Neodiprion lecontei: one gene and its partner. The protein of the gene in region 2 interacts with the protein of the main gene of each other region in a pairwise test. Links are inferred from orthologs where the notes say so. Each region holds a gene or a part of one and is shown on either strand. Other genes may lie near its edges.

Region 1 (7,888 bases), on a different chromosome or scaffold from region 2:
TCCCAAAAACAATGCAGTAATGATACTACAAATACAGTGCACCAAGATGAAGGAGTTCATATATCCTTTGTAATAATTAATCACAATGTATTAATGAATTAAAATATTCTTCAGGTACTATTTTATATAAATATCATTATTTTCAAGTATTATTTCACTAGTATATACTTCAGCCGTACCGGGAACACTATTGGTGTTGAATTCCACTATTCCAGTATACGGCGGTAGTAATTTTTCATAATGAGCCCCTTTTAAATTTCAAGACAATTTCGAGTACTGCTTGTTCTAATTACTAGTTTTAATTATCTGCAATTTTAGAAGCAGAAGTTTAATGAAGCCAGAAAAATTATGTGTCATCTGATTGCATGTTACAGAAGTGGGGATACGAAGAATTTGTGGAAAGATTTACCTGCCGGTGTAAAATATAACTTTTTAATATTTGAAACGGTGGATTCATTCCTAGCCACTGAGGTGACCTTAGACTTACACAACATCAGCAGTATACAAGTTCGTGGTGTGACCTCTGAGAATGAGCCACTTAGCATAATGCTTTCAGTAAATAAATTTCCTACTCTAATTGCACTAGGCCGTAACAGTTCGCAGCAACTTATAAATGTGAGGTACCCAACAAGAGAAGGAATAAGAAAAGCTATTAAGGAATTTTTAGTGTTGAAAGGAATAACGGTAGATATACCTGATAATACTAATAAACATCCCAGCGAGTGGATGAAGGTTGAAATACCAAATGTGTTGGACATAATGAAAGAAAGGAGAGACGAAAAAGAACAGGAGGAAGTCAGAGCACTCGGAGATCTCCTTTTTCAGTTAGATTTAGAGACAGCATTGAGATATTCGATTGACCACGAAATTCCAATGGTTAAAGTTATAGAGGGGGACAAGATTCAGGCGCTGAAAGCTTACCTGAATGTACTGGCAAAGTACTTTCCATTTGGACGCAATGGTATTTTATTTTTAGATAGATTAAGAGAACTTGTTGATCAGCGAGAAAGACTGACAGGGAAAGAATTCAGACAAATTGTTAAATCGACCGAAGAAGAAATATCCCCCATATACTCTGGGCCACAGGGATGGATTGGATGCAAGGGGAGTGTTAGTAGTTTTCGTGGGTACCCATGTGGACTTTGGACAATGTTCCATATGCTCACCGTAAACTCTGCAATCCGTAATAAAAACAATCTAGAATATAAACCACAAGAAGTTTTACAAGCTATGCTTGGATATATCAAAAACTTTTTTGGATGTGCTGATTGTTCCGAACATTTCGTCAAAATGGCTGGTGAAAATAAAATGTCTGAAGTACGTACTTTAAACGAAAGTATTTTGTGGCTGTGGAAATCGCACAATCTTGTGAACAAAAGACTGGCTGGTGATAAAACTGAAGATCCTATGCATAAAAAAGTACAATATCCGTCCAAAGAGCAATGTTCGACTTGCAAATACAATAACGAGAGTTGGAACGAAGCAGAAATATTACGTTACTTATATCGCAAGTACAGCTCTTCAGAAATAAGTTACTATAATTCAAGTGGAAAACTAAACGAGAATAACAGTATCGTTCACCTCAAAATTAGACAAGAACGATTTGCTTCAGATAAGTATAGTGGTCAACGAAAATTGGGATGGGATTTTACAATATTTGACATAAGCATCTGTGTGGTCCTGTATGTAACGTCTGCAACGATACTCGTCCTTGTTTGTATAAAGTTTGCGATGAAAAGGACTTACAGGAAGAAAACATATATACATGATCTTTTTGGCAAAGTATAACTTTGTTTGTCGCTTATGCGATTTGATTTATCAAAGAAACATTGCATCACATTATAAAGTTTACCATTAAATCTGGGAGAAATCATGTATATTCAGTTTGTCTGTTCACTGTTGGCGCAGCGCTACAATATAGGGAGTATAATCAAATCTAAAATAAATCCAGAATGAAAAACATTAGTTGCCAAAAAAAAATAGTATCCTAATAATAAGAGTGGTGAAACGAAAATCCGTTGTAATTTCAATAGATCAGTGAACATAACTTTAGCCCTGTATTGAATGGATAAACTGTAAAGGTCTTGTACATAAAAAATGCATCTAAATAGATACTTTGTTGAATAAATCTATGCAATAGTTGAATTCTTGCATGTGGCAAATTTGAATGGAATTACGAAACGGAATTAAAATAAATTGTAGCTATTTAAACTCGTTAACAGTGTAAATAGAACCTCCCATACTTACATACCTCATGAATGTAAATATCGCTGCAATGAAATACAAACTAGTCATTACGAACTTTCGATTTGTTCCGTACCAATTAGAGAAAAGTAAAACGAAACGAAATACAGGTTCGATAGTATTACTTTCTGGGATTCGCATAACTAGCTCAACAGTCAGTCAACACATCTATTGAATCGATGGTGGTGCGGCTCAATGTTACAAATCATCGATGTAATTACAGGTGTAGTTCTGATATTTAATTATTTAAATCTCACATCAATTCTGCAGATGGAACGGAGTGAACGTCGTAAGTAATTGTCAAAGAGATGAGCGAGACGAGGATTCGAGTTACTTTCCACCATTCTGTTCCGTGATTTCATTCTGTGGTATGGTCAGAATTAGGTAGGGGGTTTCTCTTGTAAATCCATCATATAATTGGTTAATCGCTCATGGTCCATATTAAGTTTATACAGTGTGAATACCTGACATATGATTTAATATCACTTATGTGTATGCAACGCATTGAGAGAGCAGTGTGCACTAAGCTTTTATAAATATTACTGGGATGTAAAGGTACTATCTCAGAGCTCGCTATACTCAGTATTTACCAACAGACCAACCATGAAATGTCACTCATTATGAATATCATCAATGCCTATGCATCACTGACACGAAAATTCCGCAAATAGCATAATGCTGCATATAACGCTGGATACAAAGTTTTTTTTTCACGCAGCATTAATGCCAGAAGATGTATTACAGAATCCAACTAATTGCATGAATCATCTTCTGGCATTATTGTCCGCACAAGGCTCGGTCTTCAACGTCTGTTCAGAATTATTCATTATTACAATAAACGTGTTTGAGTTAGAATTGTTAACAAACCTAGAATAAATTAATGAAAAAACGCAATTAAATTATAATGTAGTAAACTTTATTAGTTTTATTAGTTCATTAGTTATAAAAAGTGACAAGATCACTCCACTTGGTTCATTAGATAATTATACTTTACATATTGAATTTCAATCGATAACAGATTTAATAAAAAAAAAAAAAGCAAAAAAAAATAACAATTCACAGAATTATTGTTACGTATTCAACTTCTGAGTAGAATCGCTGTTGTGTATTCCTAAGAAGGCCAATCGACGCCAGCGTAAATCATCAGGATCAGGAGTAGATGGTGTGGTCATACATTCTAGACTCAATTGCAAGGCCCTTCTCAAATCCTCGTCTTCATCCGTATCCTCATTGGAATTGGGTAAATATTTGTCTGCCTTATCATTACTTGGATCCAATCTAAGATTCGAAGATTCGTCAACACCTACATTAGCATCCTGTAAGCTCAACTTTAATGCTTTTTGTAAGTCAGCATCATCCTCCTCTTCTACAGTAGGTTGATCGCGTCCCTCAATTCTGATTGGTATTATTCTTTCTCTTGGTTTTCCAGTTTCTGATGCAATATCTGAATGATTTTTTTGGCTCATTCTACTGACTGCCGTTGCTATTGATGATGTTGAAGCTAAACGCACGCATGAATTTGGAACTTTAACTTCTCCTAAGGCCAAAGCAGTTTTCAAAATTTTAGCATCTTCCTCTTCTTTGGAACCTAAACGATACCCCATACCACTAGTTCCTACACAATCATTTGATCTCGCTTTTACTCTCGGTGTTGCTGTTATTGGATTTTTCGTAATTACATCCTCTGCCACACATTCAGGTAAAGAACCGATAACAATGAAAATTGAGTAACCTGTGAGGAATATATGGTAAAATGATCAATGAAGATTGAAAATGATGATTATTTGTCGAATAATATAAAATGAAATTATCAACATACCCTCCTGCATCAGCTGTGCTAGGTACATAGCCAAATATGTGTTCGATATAAGTTGTGGTCCGCTCAACATTGAATTTAAGTTGAACCATTGTTTTCCAAGTTTTCTGATAGTAAACCAGTGGCCCTTGTAGTTACAAATATATGCATTCATGTCTCTAAAAAAGTCAATTATTAATCCTGGTAGGTATATTGTCAAGTTAATAAATGCTTGTTCCCGATGATTGAATTATTTTCGTTAATACAGTTTGCATTTGGTCAGTGAGAGTAAGATTTGACGTGATCTGCAGCAGTGCTGAGGCACTTAAGTTTAAATAAGGATGATCAAGATGAGTGTTAATCACAGTACTTTCGATGGGAACAAAAAATGATAAATAATAACCTACGAAGGATCGTTCTGGGCCATTAGGGCTGTTGCTTCAGTGCTGTTATAAGGAATTAATTCAAGACCCCACACTTTAAGAGCACTGCTTATGACTTGCACCGAAAAATATCCACTGTCATCCATGTTTCCCGATGGTTGCTATAACAAAGGTATCCATTGAATTAGCTTAAAATGATGAAAAAACATCAGCTTTTAATTTTACAATAGACCTTGCAAAGTGGAGTGGAATTTCACTGCTTCATATAGAAGCAATAAATTGTAATACAACATCTGGATTGTGAGATTGAATTCAATAGTGTTTTCAACTGGTTCCAGACAACATGCACAAAGCAAGGATAGCCAACAACAAGGTAATACTATTTTCATTTACAGCCATTTCCAGCTACATTTCATAGTACAGAATGCTTCTTTGAGTAAGTTTTATTTCTAGCTCAATAAATACTGACAGTTCTGTCGCGTCAGTAAAAAGATAATACTAACTTTCTATAGTCTAAGGTTACCATCCCTTAAAATCAATAGGACTATGAGAATCCTCTGTAGCTTGTTGTCGTAATGCTATTGATAAAACAGCTAATAAGTCCGAGATGTATCTAATGTACATTGAATTGACTAATTGAAAATACTATCAACATGGGGAATTTCAATTGATTAATGATCCGCACAGAATACGCACGAAGCAATATACATACGCGATGGTAGAGTGAGAAAAAAAAGATTGTGTATGCCATAATAAGAGTAAGACAAACGGTTACCTCCAGAAACAACTGATACTCCTCGCTGTCGATGCCTGATTCAGCCATTCTGAGGCGTTCCTCCTCGTCCATCTGACATGCCAAATTTGCAAGATCTACAGCGTTGAAGTATGGACCCTGCAGAAGAGCATTGAGACAATGCTGCGCACAAAGGTATCCTTCTTGCTAAGAAATAAATTTGAACCAAAATGGACATGAAAATTTTAGTGAGCATTATAGTACTGTGGTTGGATAACTACATTACCTTCTCGTGAAATATGCTCTCCATTGTGAAGTCAGGGTTTTACAAAAAAGCGAAATAAGATTCGAGTGAAAAAAACGAAAAATGAGACCTCGGATAATAGATAATAACACGCGATATCAGGCGGTGGAAAAGTAAAATAATATATTTCAAGTCAAGCAATCAAACGTCATACATTAATATCCATGTATGCACATACGTTTGTGTGGAATGTACACTTTTCAAGCGCGGTGGATGTAAAGAGAAGATGGTAATGTTCAAGCTTGTAGTGTCCTTCCTCCATGCCTATGTCAAGTCAGGACAAATAGCCAATCACAGTCTTAGCCGATGGAAAAGGGCCAATAGGCTCCCAAATTTACTCGCTTTTGATGAGTGGTTTTTGGCGCTGATAGCTGATTTCGGAACGCGCTCGCAATGAGTTGCAACGAATGGCGCTGTATGTGGAATCACCTCTCTGTTTGGGTACTAGCCCATACAACCATTTTTACACTTGATATTACAGTTTTGTATTATTTCATATTATGATTAAATTACAATTATTTGAACATTTTATACTGTAAATTATTTGAACATTTTATAGGTTATTTTAACATAAGATATATTATTATATTAGAAATTAATTTTTAAAGAGTCAATAAATTTAATTAAAGCATTAAGAATTATAGAGTTTTTAGAATTAATAATTTCTTCGACACTGTATGATCCTAAGCCCAACAATAACGCGATTTGACTCGGAGCTCCACCTATCGGCTCTCGTCAAAGGCGTCATAATTGTCAGACTCGGGACAGTGTTCGATAATTATTGTTGTGGAATTTGGAATACTCCCAGCAGAATTATTGATGGAGCGAGAACATTGTTGGTGAAAGTTGAGAAAAAAATACTGAGTGATCATTGCGGAGAACAAAGATAGTAATTATCATATTAGAAATATTTGTACTCTCGCTTAACAGCCATGGCAACGATTGGGGAACCTCTCACATTAGCCAGGGGTAAGTTAACTTATTGCTCTTGTTTACTCAGTTTGGAGTACTGTCAGTTCGTCGTGCAAACGCCGGATAGTTTTCAATTCGTAGATACGCTTCTGGGTGTGATTAGTAATTAGATTGATCATGTAACTAAATTCATTGAATAAGTAATTGCAGAATAAGAAATGTATAATTTGGTACTTCAATTCATTCAATTGTCTGTATGTCTGTAGTATCATCTAATTATTAGTTACTAGAATGGACATTCACTATTTTTTCATTCTGGTACTCGCTTATGTTTATTTGTGTTTTTATAGATGTCAAAAGATCGATCGAACTCCTCGACAAACTACAGAAAAGTAAGTTGATGATTGAAATTTTTTTTAAATTACCTACATCCTTACCAAAACAAATATTTGTTAGATTATTACAAATTAAAATGGTTTGTATAAAGTTTTCATAAATAACATCATCGAGTAATGTATTTATATTGCAATTAAGTTTATCTTGAATATTTGATTGATACTGACTTATTTTAGGTGGTGAAGTACCGGCTACAAAGTTAGCAGCTCTGCAGAAGGTACTACAAAGCGACTTTCTCAATGCAGTAAGAGAAGTCTATGAACACGTGTATGAGACTGTTGATATTCAGGTAATACTAAGTATAAGCAATTATACCTTTTTCATAAAATAATCAATCTTTCTCTGACGCCAAAGTTTTGGAGAACATTCAAACGATTCGTAACATATACTTTAATTGGTGCCTGGCATACGCCATTCATGAGTTTTTGAGACTTTGAGTTTATTAGAACTATCCTGTTTAAAACCACTCTAATATAAGAGTATGTGGAATTTTTGGTACAGGGTTCTCAAGATGTGCGTGCTTCCGCCACAGCCAAGGCGACTGTGGCTGCTTTTGCGGCAAGTGAAGGACATGCCCATCCGCGAGTTGTTGAATTACCGAAAACAGAGGAGGGTCTTGGATTCAATGTGATGGGAGGAAAAGAGCAAAATTCACCTGTATATATATCTCGAATTATTCCAGGAGGTGTGGCCGACAGACATGGTGGTTTGAAACGTGGTGACCAGTTACTGTCTGTTAATGGCGTGGTACGTAATGTGAAATTTTTACATTGATGAAATATTAAGATTTAATCATACTCGAACGTTGCCATTCAAGAATTTATACGATGATACAGGATAGTGTAAATATTGTATTTTTCTCATTTCCTCTAGTGTATTGAAGGCGAAAATCATGAGACAGCTGTGGAATCGCTGAAACAAGCCCAAAACTCGGTGAAGTTAGTTGTTCGCTATACTCCTCGTCTTTTGGAGGAAATGGAATTGCGGTTTGATAAACATGCGCACCAAACTGCACGTAGGCGTCAACGTGTGCAGTAGACTGCAATGATTATTTTTATCACTACATATATATAGAATTTATGAATAACTGATATAGATACAATGTAATGTTACTTATATTA
Region 2 (9,048 bases):
TATTACATCGACAAATGGATTCAACAATCTTTGAATACAACTCTTCCCGACGCCACTAAGCCCGTGATCATAATAAGCGAAACAAACATATTTGGAAAAAAATATTATGAAATTGTCGCTTATCAAACGGCCTATTTAACGTTATACGCATTCCTTGCGTACACGCGGTCTCGAATCATCAGAATTCAGGTATGAAATCACATACCGTAGCTACTGCTGGCACTAATCTACATACGAGTATAGTGAGTACACACGACAGCTGTATGTACAGAGATGCATATTGCGTTACGGCTTCACTTGCGAAAGATAGTCTCTGGTAACAACGAGGGGAATGTCGAAGGCTTGTCTCTGAGTAAGATACAAGCGGGTAACGTGTCGTTAAAGGTCTCCAGCTGTTATCGCGAATATTTTTATTTACTTACGATTAATGCGAAAACTCAGGGCTTGAGAGGAAAGGGGCAAGGGGGAATGATTCGCGGGGGTCGTGCCTCTTCGTCGTGGCAACAACACGAAGTTGATCTTTGCGCAAACCCACAGCTGATATTGCTTCGCCTGTGTGTGACTCTCTACTGTAAATGCATGTAATATAATATGCCAGCCAAGGTTGATTTTCACCAACGAACTATTTTCCTTTACTTGTATATTATGGTTTCCAAAATTCGACGGAAACGTCGGTATAATTGTGTCAAAATGAATTTACCAATTTGTGAGCAGAGGTCCGAAAGACTCTAATCTGGATTTAAATCCCTGAGATTTACTCTCTAGTTACACTGCAGCTATTAATTCTGTCACTCAAGGTACGACAAAGAATATTTAGAGACTTATTACGGGAATTCAGGAGCTCGACCAAAATGGTTACGGGATCTTGCAAAAAATATATTTCAAGACAATAATAGTGTGTAAAGGAATTCGATCAAAGTATTACGCAGAGGGACGTCTTCGTAATCGTTAAAATTCAACCAAGCTTCGGATCGTCGCTCGTGTCTAACGTTTATGCCGTATATTATAGGTTTCTATTTGCGTGCAATTTACGCTTCGTTGTAAACTTACAATTAGCGCACGAATGCAAACCAGTGGTCCCGCTTCGACATACTGTATATTATTTATTATCACCAAGATATGTTTGCGGAGCGAGTCGAGCCCCCAACTGACGTCACATTGACTGACGCCGACAGTCGCAATAAGATAAAATTTGCTCTATCTCTCTTTATTTCTCTCGTGTTGTATGCAAGAGGTTAAGTGAGTGTTTTTTTTACTGAGAATTACGATTTTGCTACTGATTGGCAATTATATTGCCAATCTTCACCGCAATTATACTCATCATGTGTGGTTCAGCAATGTTGCAGTAAATAAGGATGATGCAATTTGAATGACGAATGTCATCTATGCATACGATGTCACGCGAACCGATCGCGAAAAGTTCACACTATGATTAGAGTCACGCTAGGTTTTTTTTTTTTTTTCATTCCAAACAGCACGTATAATTCAAGAAATTCGAAAATGCGACTGTCCAGATATTTCACAGATGTAAGAGTTTGAAAAATGAACAATTCGAAGACGAAATTTTGAATATCTCAAACGTGTAAAACTTGAGAGGTATATTGATAGAGAAATTGTTGGAATCCATCATTGACTGTCACAAAGGTAGTAAACATTTCAAACTCAGAGATAAAAAAATACATAGAAACAACTCCAAATAGTTTGAATATTTTTAGACATACCATTGACAGAACTGGTAGAGTTGCGTAAGTCGACTTTGTCCCCATCCCCTTCCGCACACTTTAAAGCACAGGGTTACGAGGTTTGCAGTTACGATCTTGAGTCCAATAGACTGGGGGAGACCTCTGTCTAGACACAGAGAACCATGGAGAAGTCTTTGGTCAGGACAGCTGCTGCAATATCGACAACTTACGATTGTTGTGAGACAATCCTGGCAATTTTACCAGCATTAGAATTTCAGAGAAATGTAAATACCTTTTGCCGCTTCTCTGGCCGACTGATAACGTAGATGCTGTATTTGAGAGAGGAATACATATACTTAACGCACGCGGATGTCACTGGTAAAAATTTATACTCGCACTACTGACTTGTGCACATTTATCGAGTCACTGGCAATTTTACAATCATTAAAAGTAGTTTATCTTAGAAGTCAAGCATTCTAAAGTTCGAAACTCCAATAATCTAAAGGTGGAAAGTTGAAAGTGTGCATTAGCGATAATGCGGAACGTACAGACGTGTCTGATCGAGTGTGATGGGGAGAAGCAAGGCTTTTATTTACTTCCTTTCAGCTCAGAAGCGACTACCTCGCAAGTCATTATTATTACAAATTGAAAAATATTTTTTATCATATCGAAAAACACACGTCAAAAGAAAATGAAAATAATACATTCGCGACACAGGACATATTTTTACATTGTACAAACGTCAAGTTCTTACGTTGAGTAAACGCGGGAATGTAAATTGTTGCCCTACGTGAAAACAAAAGAACGTGGGAGTTATGTCGAGAATATTTCGAAGAATGCAATTATTTCGCATTGTCTCACTATCTTCCACAAAATTTCGTATTATCCAAACGTCGACGACGCATCTATGCAAAAAAATGTAAATGCACCGACGCACAAAAGTTCACTTGGAGTACACGAAAGTCATTACTTGCAGGTTTTCAAGATTCTGTATTGAAATGGAGCAAAACTAATTGATTTTACTTAAAAAACATTTCCTCTCCACGCAGGGTGCATAGATCAAACATGTATCAGTTCGATTTCACTCACCGAAATAAAGAAAGAAATTTGATAAGTACCAACGACAAGACAGAGATTAACGAAATCGTGACTTTTGCTACATCGCGCCGTTTAGGAATATCCGAGCGCTACCTAATCGTGGAAATTGTCCGCGGTATCGAATTTTCGAAAATATACTCACGATCATACCTCGGTAGAGAATACTATCGTTTTCCTGGAGTTTTATACAATTTGCCGCGAAATATGCACGGGGCCCCGCGAAAGATAGGGTCTTCCCTGGGGAGGCGCGCGGGATCAGCTGTTCGGTGACAGTTTGCCAGCCGCGGTGGGAGACGGTGTGGTACAAGAAAGTCAACATGGCCGCTTGCTAAGCACAAATCGTACGTCGCAAACAAAGAAACGGCGCAGTTCACGGAAAAATTACGGCCGCGTTGTGTGGTTTTAGTTGATTTTCTGTGACTGATAGGCTTGGGAGTATATCGTAGGATGCTGGAGCTTGAGGTGGTACCCGAGAGGTCTCTCGGTTGTGAGCAGTGGGAATTTATTTTAGGCAAGTGACGAAACATTCGTAAATTCTCTCGGTATATTACGTAGAATTTTGCTGAAAACGATATTCCGCTTGAGGGTTAAAATTTTCACAACGCAATCGCGTCATGTTTTCATTGATTTTCAACAGTTGTCATCGCCCCAATCGCAACCCTCGTGACTTCTATAATTCATTATTACAGGTTTAGTTGTGGTAAACAATTATATTTTGACAATCATTGCACGTAAACAAACTCCTATCCGTGTGTACGTAAACATCAACTCCATTACATAATTCGAATGTTTATTTTCTGCTTTTTTTTATTTTCATTTATACCTGTCTCACGCCAAATTTTCCAACATTGTTATAACAAAGGAGTATAGCCGTTTCAATATGCAGGGCTAGCTCATTTCTTCACGGGTTATTAAATACGAGCCGCGATTGTTTTCAAGGTTCTCGACACTTTTACTTTTATCCATCTTTTCACATACATACGCGTTAACGTGCTTCTAGTTGCAGCTAAACTACATAATTGTAATTACCGTACGAAAGTTATTGTTAATGTAAATAATTTCTACTCTCGTTTTTTTCTCATTCGTCTTCTTTCTTCAACAGGAATGCATTTCTCTCAATCTGTAGCAATAATACAATCACAAGTGGGCATTATAAGGGGAGTACAAGTTCTTTACAGTGATACTGTAAGTATTTCAAATCCACTATCACTATCAGTAAATAGTAATAATGGCAGAATGCCACAGTCACGGAGTGTAAACAGTGGGATGGGCTTTTGTAGTCTCCACTAGTGACATCTGTAGTCGAACTTCATACCTACAGATCCAAAACATTTGAGGGTGGGGATAACGCGTAAAATTTTATAAATACAAACAGAATACGTAACATATGCTATTTCGATTTGAAAACTATGCTAATCGAATATATAAAGTACGGTATCTCATATTATGCAGAATTTTGGCTTCTACGCAATAAGAGATTTGAAATCAAATTTTTGCTCTGCAAAGTTCACCTTCTGAAAAATGAAAAGGCGGAATTTATACTTCTGATATTATTTAGATTTTTTTTTCATATCTTCATTGCTGAATTAATTCTAGACGAATCAATTCGTGATTTACAAAACAAATAGCCAAATCTGCAGTAAATTGATTGTACTTGAAAAAATTTACTGCCAAAATTGTATTTTAACAGAACAGATATGAAAGAAGAAAATTGTAATAATTCAGCTGAGATTTCTGTAGTTAATATTCTGAGGTTTTAGATAACCATTATTTGTATAACTGCTATATTATAGAAATCGTCAGACGAATTTGAATTAAAATTTTGCATGAAAACGTTTATATTATTCCTATGAGTGGAATGATTGAATAAAAACAAAAATTTGTTTGTTCTCAATAAAAACTATTCAGTCCATGTACCAACTTTTGAATTAACGAAGCTTGAATCATTGTTTAAGAATCAGAGAGTCGATGTAAGATAAAGTGACGTTTCTTTTTTTCAGAATCCATTAGAAGTAGACTTAGTAATAAATTTACCACATGACGGGGTACGACTTATATTCGATCCAGTCGCGCAGAGGTTGAAAATTATAGAAATATATAATATGAAGCTAGTTAAACTTAAATATTGTGGTCTGCCTTTCAATTCACCAGAGGTACTTCCATCTATTGAACAAATAGAACATTCGTTTGGGGCTACTCATCCTGGCGTCTATGACAGTGACAAACAGGTACAATTGAGATTATGCAGTGTAAGATATTTTAGATTCATCAAATATAACATCTGATATTCAATTACTTATTTGTTTTATAACTGTACTTCTTCAAGAATAACTTGATTTGCTGCTTGTATGAACGATCAGATAATCTTTTTAACGCTTATCACTTGTTTATAATAATAGTAATAAACTTTTCCTGTTTCAGGTGTTCGTTCTGAATTTCAGAGGACTGTCGTTCTACTTCCCAATAGATTCTAAATTTCAACCAGGCTATGCACATGGCTTGGGATCCTTACGATTCTCTAACGGAGCTTCACCACTGGTGGCTAAAACTGCTATTTATGTTGGAAATAATGTTGCTACTGGAACTGCTGGCGGAGGAGAAGAACATAGTCCCAAAACATCTCCTCCACCTTTACCACTCGTTCGTATATCCATTTTCCTCTTAATTTATTCAAATTTCATTTGTAAATTGTAAGAATTTGCAAAGTAAATCGGTAATAATTGTCTAACTACAATTCTATAATTAGCTGATGTTCGGCAATAAAACTTTGCTTTAAGGGCGTAACGGTAAAAAAAATTGGGCACTTCCAAGATTACACTAACATCAGAGTTGAGTTACATCTACGGAATGGAATCTACATTACGGAAAATGGATTTTTTTATTTTGTTACTCATATCTACCACTGAATGTTGCACAACGATCAATAATAGAGTTATGTCACGTTTACAACCAGTGGATTTTAGAAGATAACAAATATTATCACGAAATAACGCATAACTTTTAAGAATAAGCTTATTTTTATTAGGTCTGCTACCATAACAACTTGTATTTGGACAAGGCAGAAGTAATTAGAGATAAAATTCGTACCCGTGGTTTGAAATTGCATCTCTTCACGGAGGGAGGCTCAGCAACAAGGGTTCTATTGGAGCCTAAAAAACATCGTTTTACCAAAGAGGTAAGAATCGCAAGATACCTTTGTTTCAAAATTCGAATATTAAAATGTATAACATACTGCCAGCAGAAATCATTTCTCTTTTTTGTACGACCATCTACTAAATTAGAAGTCCCTTCAATTTCTACAATTTTATAAATTGTAACTGTGATCAAATGACTGCTGAACCTTTTCAAAGCATATGAAACCTTGATTATAATCATAAAACATATTGTTGATGCTACTTCCTTGAATTTCTCAATAAGTAAAGATAAATAACAAATGAACTACTTATATATGGATTTTGCAAATGTGACTTAAGGTATGGTTCGGGGATTCGTGTGAAGATGTGTTGAGTGCTCTTGGGGCGCCTTCTAGAGTATTTTTCAAAGCAGAGGACAAAATGAGAATCCACAGTCCCCATGCGCATAAGCGGGACAAAACCAGGCGTTCAGATTTCTTTTACAATTACTTTACCCTTGGACTGGTAAGACTTGATTCCATATAGTTATCGCATTGAACACTTTTTTCATTTCTATTGGTTTTAAAAGAAATACCGACATGCACTCTAATTAGAATTTTTCTTAAGATGGAATTCATGCCTTATTGGCGAAACAATGCAAATAATCCTTCTTTGCCTGAAAGATCATCTGAAATCCCACGAGACATCAATGTGTCAATTTATTTGATAATCTTATGTTAGCCAAATTCTTTAACTACACAACAATACCTGTATTGACAACTAGTTGATTTTTATGTTAAATATACTAACATAATATTATAATCCTACGTATTTTTGATCTATCGATTTTTTTCTTGCTCACAAACACTATATCAGAGTTTTACGTATTTTAAAATATCTCATTTTACTTTGAGAAAAAAGGTATCGCAAGAGATGTTACTTCACAAAGGCATCGTACTCAACCGTAACGATCCTCAAATCAATTATTCGGTGACGTTTTCTGAAAAGAGCTGTTTGTAATAAATTTTCATTTGTTAATCAGGACGTATTGTTCGATGCCAAGACGCAGTGGGTAAAAAAATTTGTACTGCACACAAATTATCCAGGGCATTATAATTTCAATATGTACCATCGTTGTGAATTCACTTTGAATCTACCACCGGAAACAATTGGCGCATCCGATTCTGGAAAACTCATTGACGTTTCTCCATCCCCAGTAACAGTGAGTCATGATTGTATTATAATCAAGCAAGCCTGATAAGATTTGCTACCGAAATGGATATACAACATGATATACATATTACTTGTGCGTTACAGATCACTGCCTACACTAAATGGGACAGAGTAAGCGAGCAGTTGAAGGCTAGTGCGCGACCCGTTGTATTAAATCGCGCATCTTCGACCAACACTACAAATCCATTTGGATGCACGTTTTGCTATGGCGTTCGCGATGTGATCGTAGAAGTAATGGCTAATCAACATATTGCCAGTGTTACGTTATATGAGACGGCGTGACCCATGTAAACAAAACTGCTTGTAAAACTCTTTGCCACTTCTCCTTTACGAGAGCAAGAAATATGATAAATTTAACAAAATAATGGTAATGATAATAATAACAACAACAACCAACAACAACAACTATAATAATAATAATAATAATAATGATAATAATAATAGTAATAGTAATAATAATAACAGCAACAACAACAATAATAATAATTCATTTAAGTCTACGTGAGTAAGTGATATTTTATGTGAAAAAATGATTAAAAAAAAAAAACAATAAGGGAAAGTGATAATCTCTAATTGAGAAGGGTTAATTTTGCAGATCTGTAATGCAGCGCAAAATATGACATGAAAAACAGCAGATGAGCAGAGTTCTCGACCTGAAGCCTTATTAATGAAAATGAGGAAACATTTCGAGTTTTTTGGGATCATTACCGTTTGAAATTACTCACTCTCCTAACATAAACATCACTCTGCTAATTTTTCACTTGCCTAAACTCAAAGTTGATATAGGACCATTCATTCATAGATTACGAACTCTATTTTATGTACTACGTAGAATAGATAGACTAATCTATAAGTGGATCTCCTAGCCTGATACAAAAATGTTATATACAATGGAAGTGAAAACATTGAAAAAGTAATATTATCGCATGCGTACATAAATATACATACACACAATTTACTGTGTAAATGTGTATATATGTTTAACGCTCCAGTAAATTTATATTAAATTCAAACTCAATAGACAGTGTTTCGGCCAATAGTCAGTGGAACTTTCCTCGGTGCTGTTAATGGCTGTTTTACGTTTACTCAAATAATTTTGTAACCCTGGAGGAGCTAGCTAGAAGCCAGGGCTTAAAAATACAATTCTCTGATCGTGGTTCCCGATTTCTATCTCCAATACGGTGACATTGTTTATCCATATCAATACTTACAATGCCTGGTATCGATTCTACATAATAGTTTTTAATCATAGTACAATACTTTCATATTAGGCTTAATGGCCATAATTATCAATATGAATTATAATACTTATGGTAGTGGATTACGTCATGTAAATCAAAACCCTGTGTCTCCCCGCACTCAGGCCTTTGCCCTCTTGTTCACCCCAAAAAAAGCATAAAAATATTAAGTAATAAAAATTTGCGTAGATAGTAATTATATAGTTAAAAGAATTTATGCAAATAATTATAAATGATAATTAATTGTAACGTGTAATGTTAATATTTAATTTTCATAACTCAATTTTTCTAACGTGTAGTTTAAGAAAAAGAGATGAAGATTAAAAAAATGATGAAAAAAATAATTGTAGCAATGCTAGAGTGCCGCAAGTGACGCAGCTTTGTGATGAAATTTAGTTTACACAGATTTAGTTAATAATTTCTAATTCCTAATCAATTATATGATTGAATAATTGTGAGATTTTTCAAAGAAAATAATTTCTCGTAGTCAAGCGAATATTATTACCAATCATCTTTTAAAATCATGTTCTCATTATCTAAGTACTACAGGTACTCTGACGTTGAAAAAAAAACCTTTTCCTTACGAATGGATACCAATACTTACTAAATATTTTTCTAGTACAACAAAAATCGTTATATAATTAAATTTGGGGAAAAAATCAGGAATAACAGATATTAACAGTT

Evidence for each region.
Region 1: the proteins of PHAF1 protein CG7083 (region 2) and ataxin-3 interact in binary tests that used the Homo sapiens proteins (3 or more experiments, as listed by UniProt). The link is inferred for Neodiprion lecontei from reciprocal best matches to the Homo sapiens genes PHAF1 and ATXN3.

Annotation. Positions count from the first base shown.
Region 1 is NC_060261.1:6,978,180-6,986,067, forward strand, and holds ataxin-3, read right to left. Parts: upstream 5,936-7,888; 5' UTR 5,466-5,935; coding exon 5,442-5,465; intron 5,363-5,441; coding exon 5,198-5,362; intron 4,584-5,197; coding exon 4,447-4,583; intron 4,219-4,446; coding exon 4,064-4,218; intron 3,977-4,063; coding exon 3,315-3,976; 3' UTR 1,789-3,314; downstream 1-1,788. Other genes in the region: sulfhydryl oxidase 2, read left to right, coding at 375-1,788; protein lin-7 homolog C, read left to right, coding at 6,392-6,428, 6,722-6,763, 6,944-7,056, 7,269-7,514, 7,641-7,805. UniProt on the Homo sapiens protein: Deubiquitinating enzyme involved in protein homeostasis maintenance, transcription, cytoskeleton regulation, myogenesis and degradation of misfolded chaperone substrates.
Region 2 is NC_060262.1:32,921,216-32,930,263, reverse strand, and holds PHAF1 protein CG7083, read left to right. Parts: upstream 1-3,078; 5' UTR 3,079-3,227; coding exon 3,228-3,291; intron 3,292-3,882; coding exon 3,883-3,965; intron 3,966-4,780; coding exon 4,781-5,029; intron 5,030-5,201; coding exon 5,202-5,420; intron 5,421-5,805; coding exon 5,806-5,955; intron 5,956-6,253; coding exon 6,254-6,418; intron 6,419-6,935; coding exon 6,936-7,115; intron 7,116-7,210; coding exon 7,211-7,408; 3' UTR 7,409-7,716; downstream 7,717-9,048. UniProt on the Homo sapiens protein: Plays a regulatory role in autophagic activity. In complex with BCAS3, associates with the autophagosome formation site during both non-selective and selective autophagy.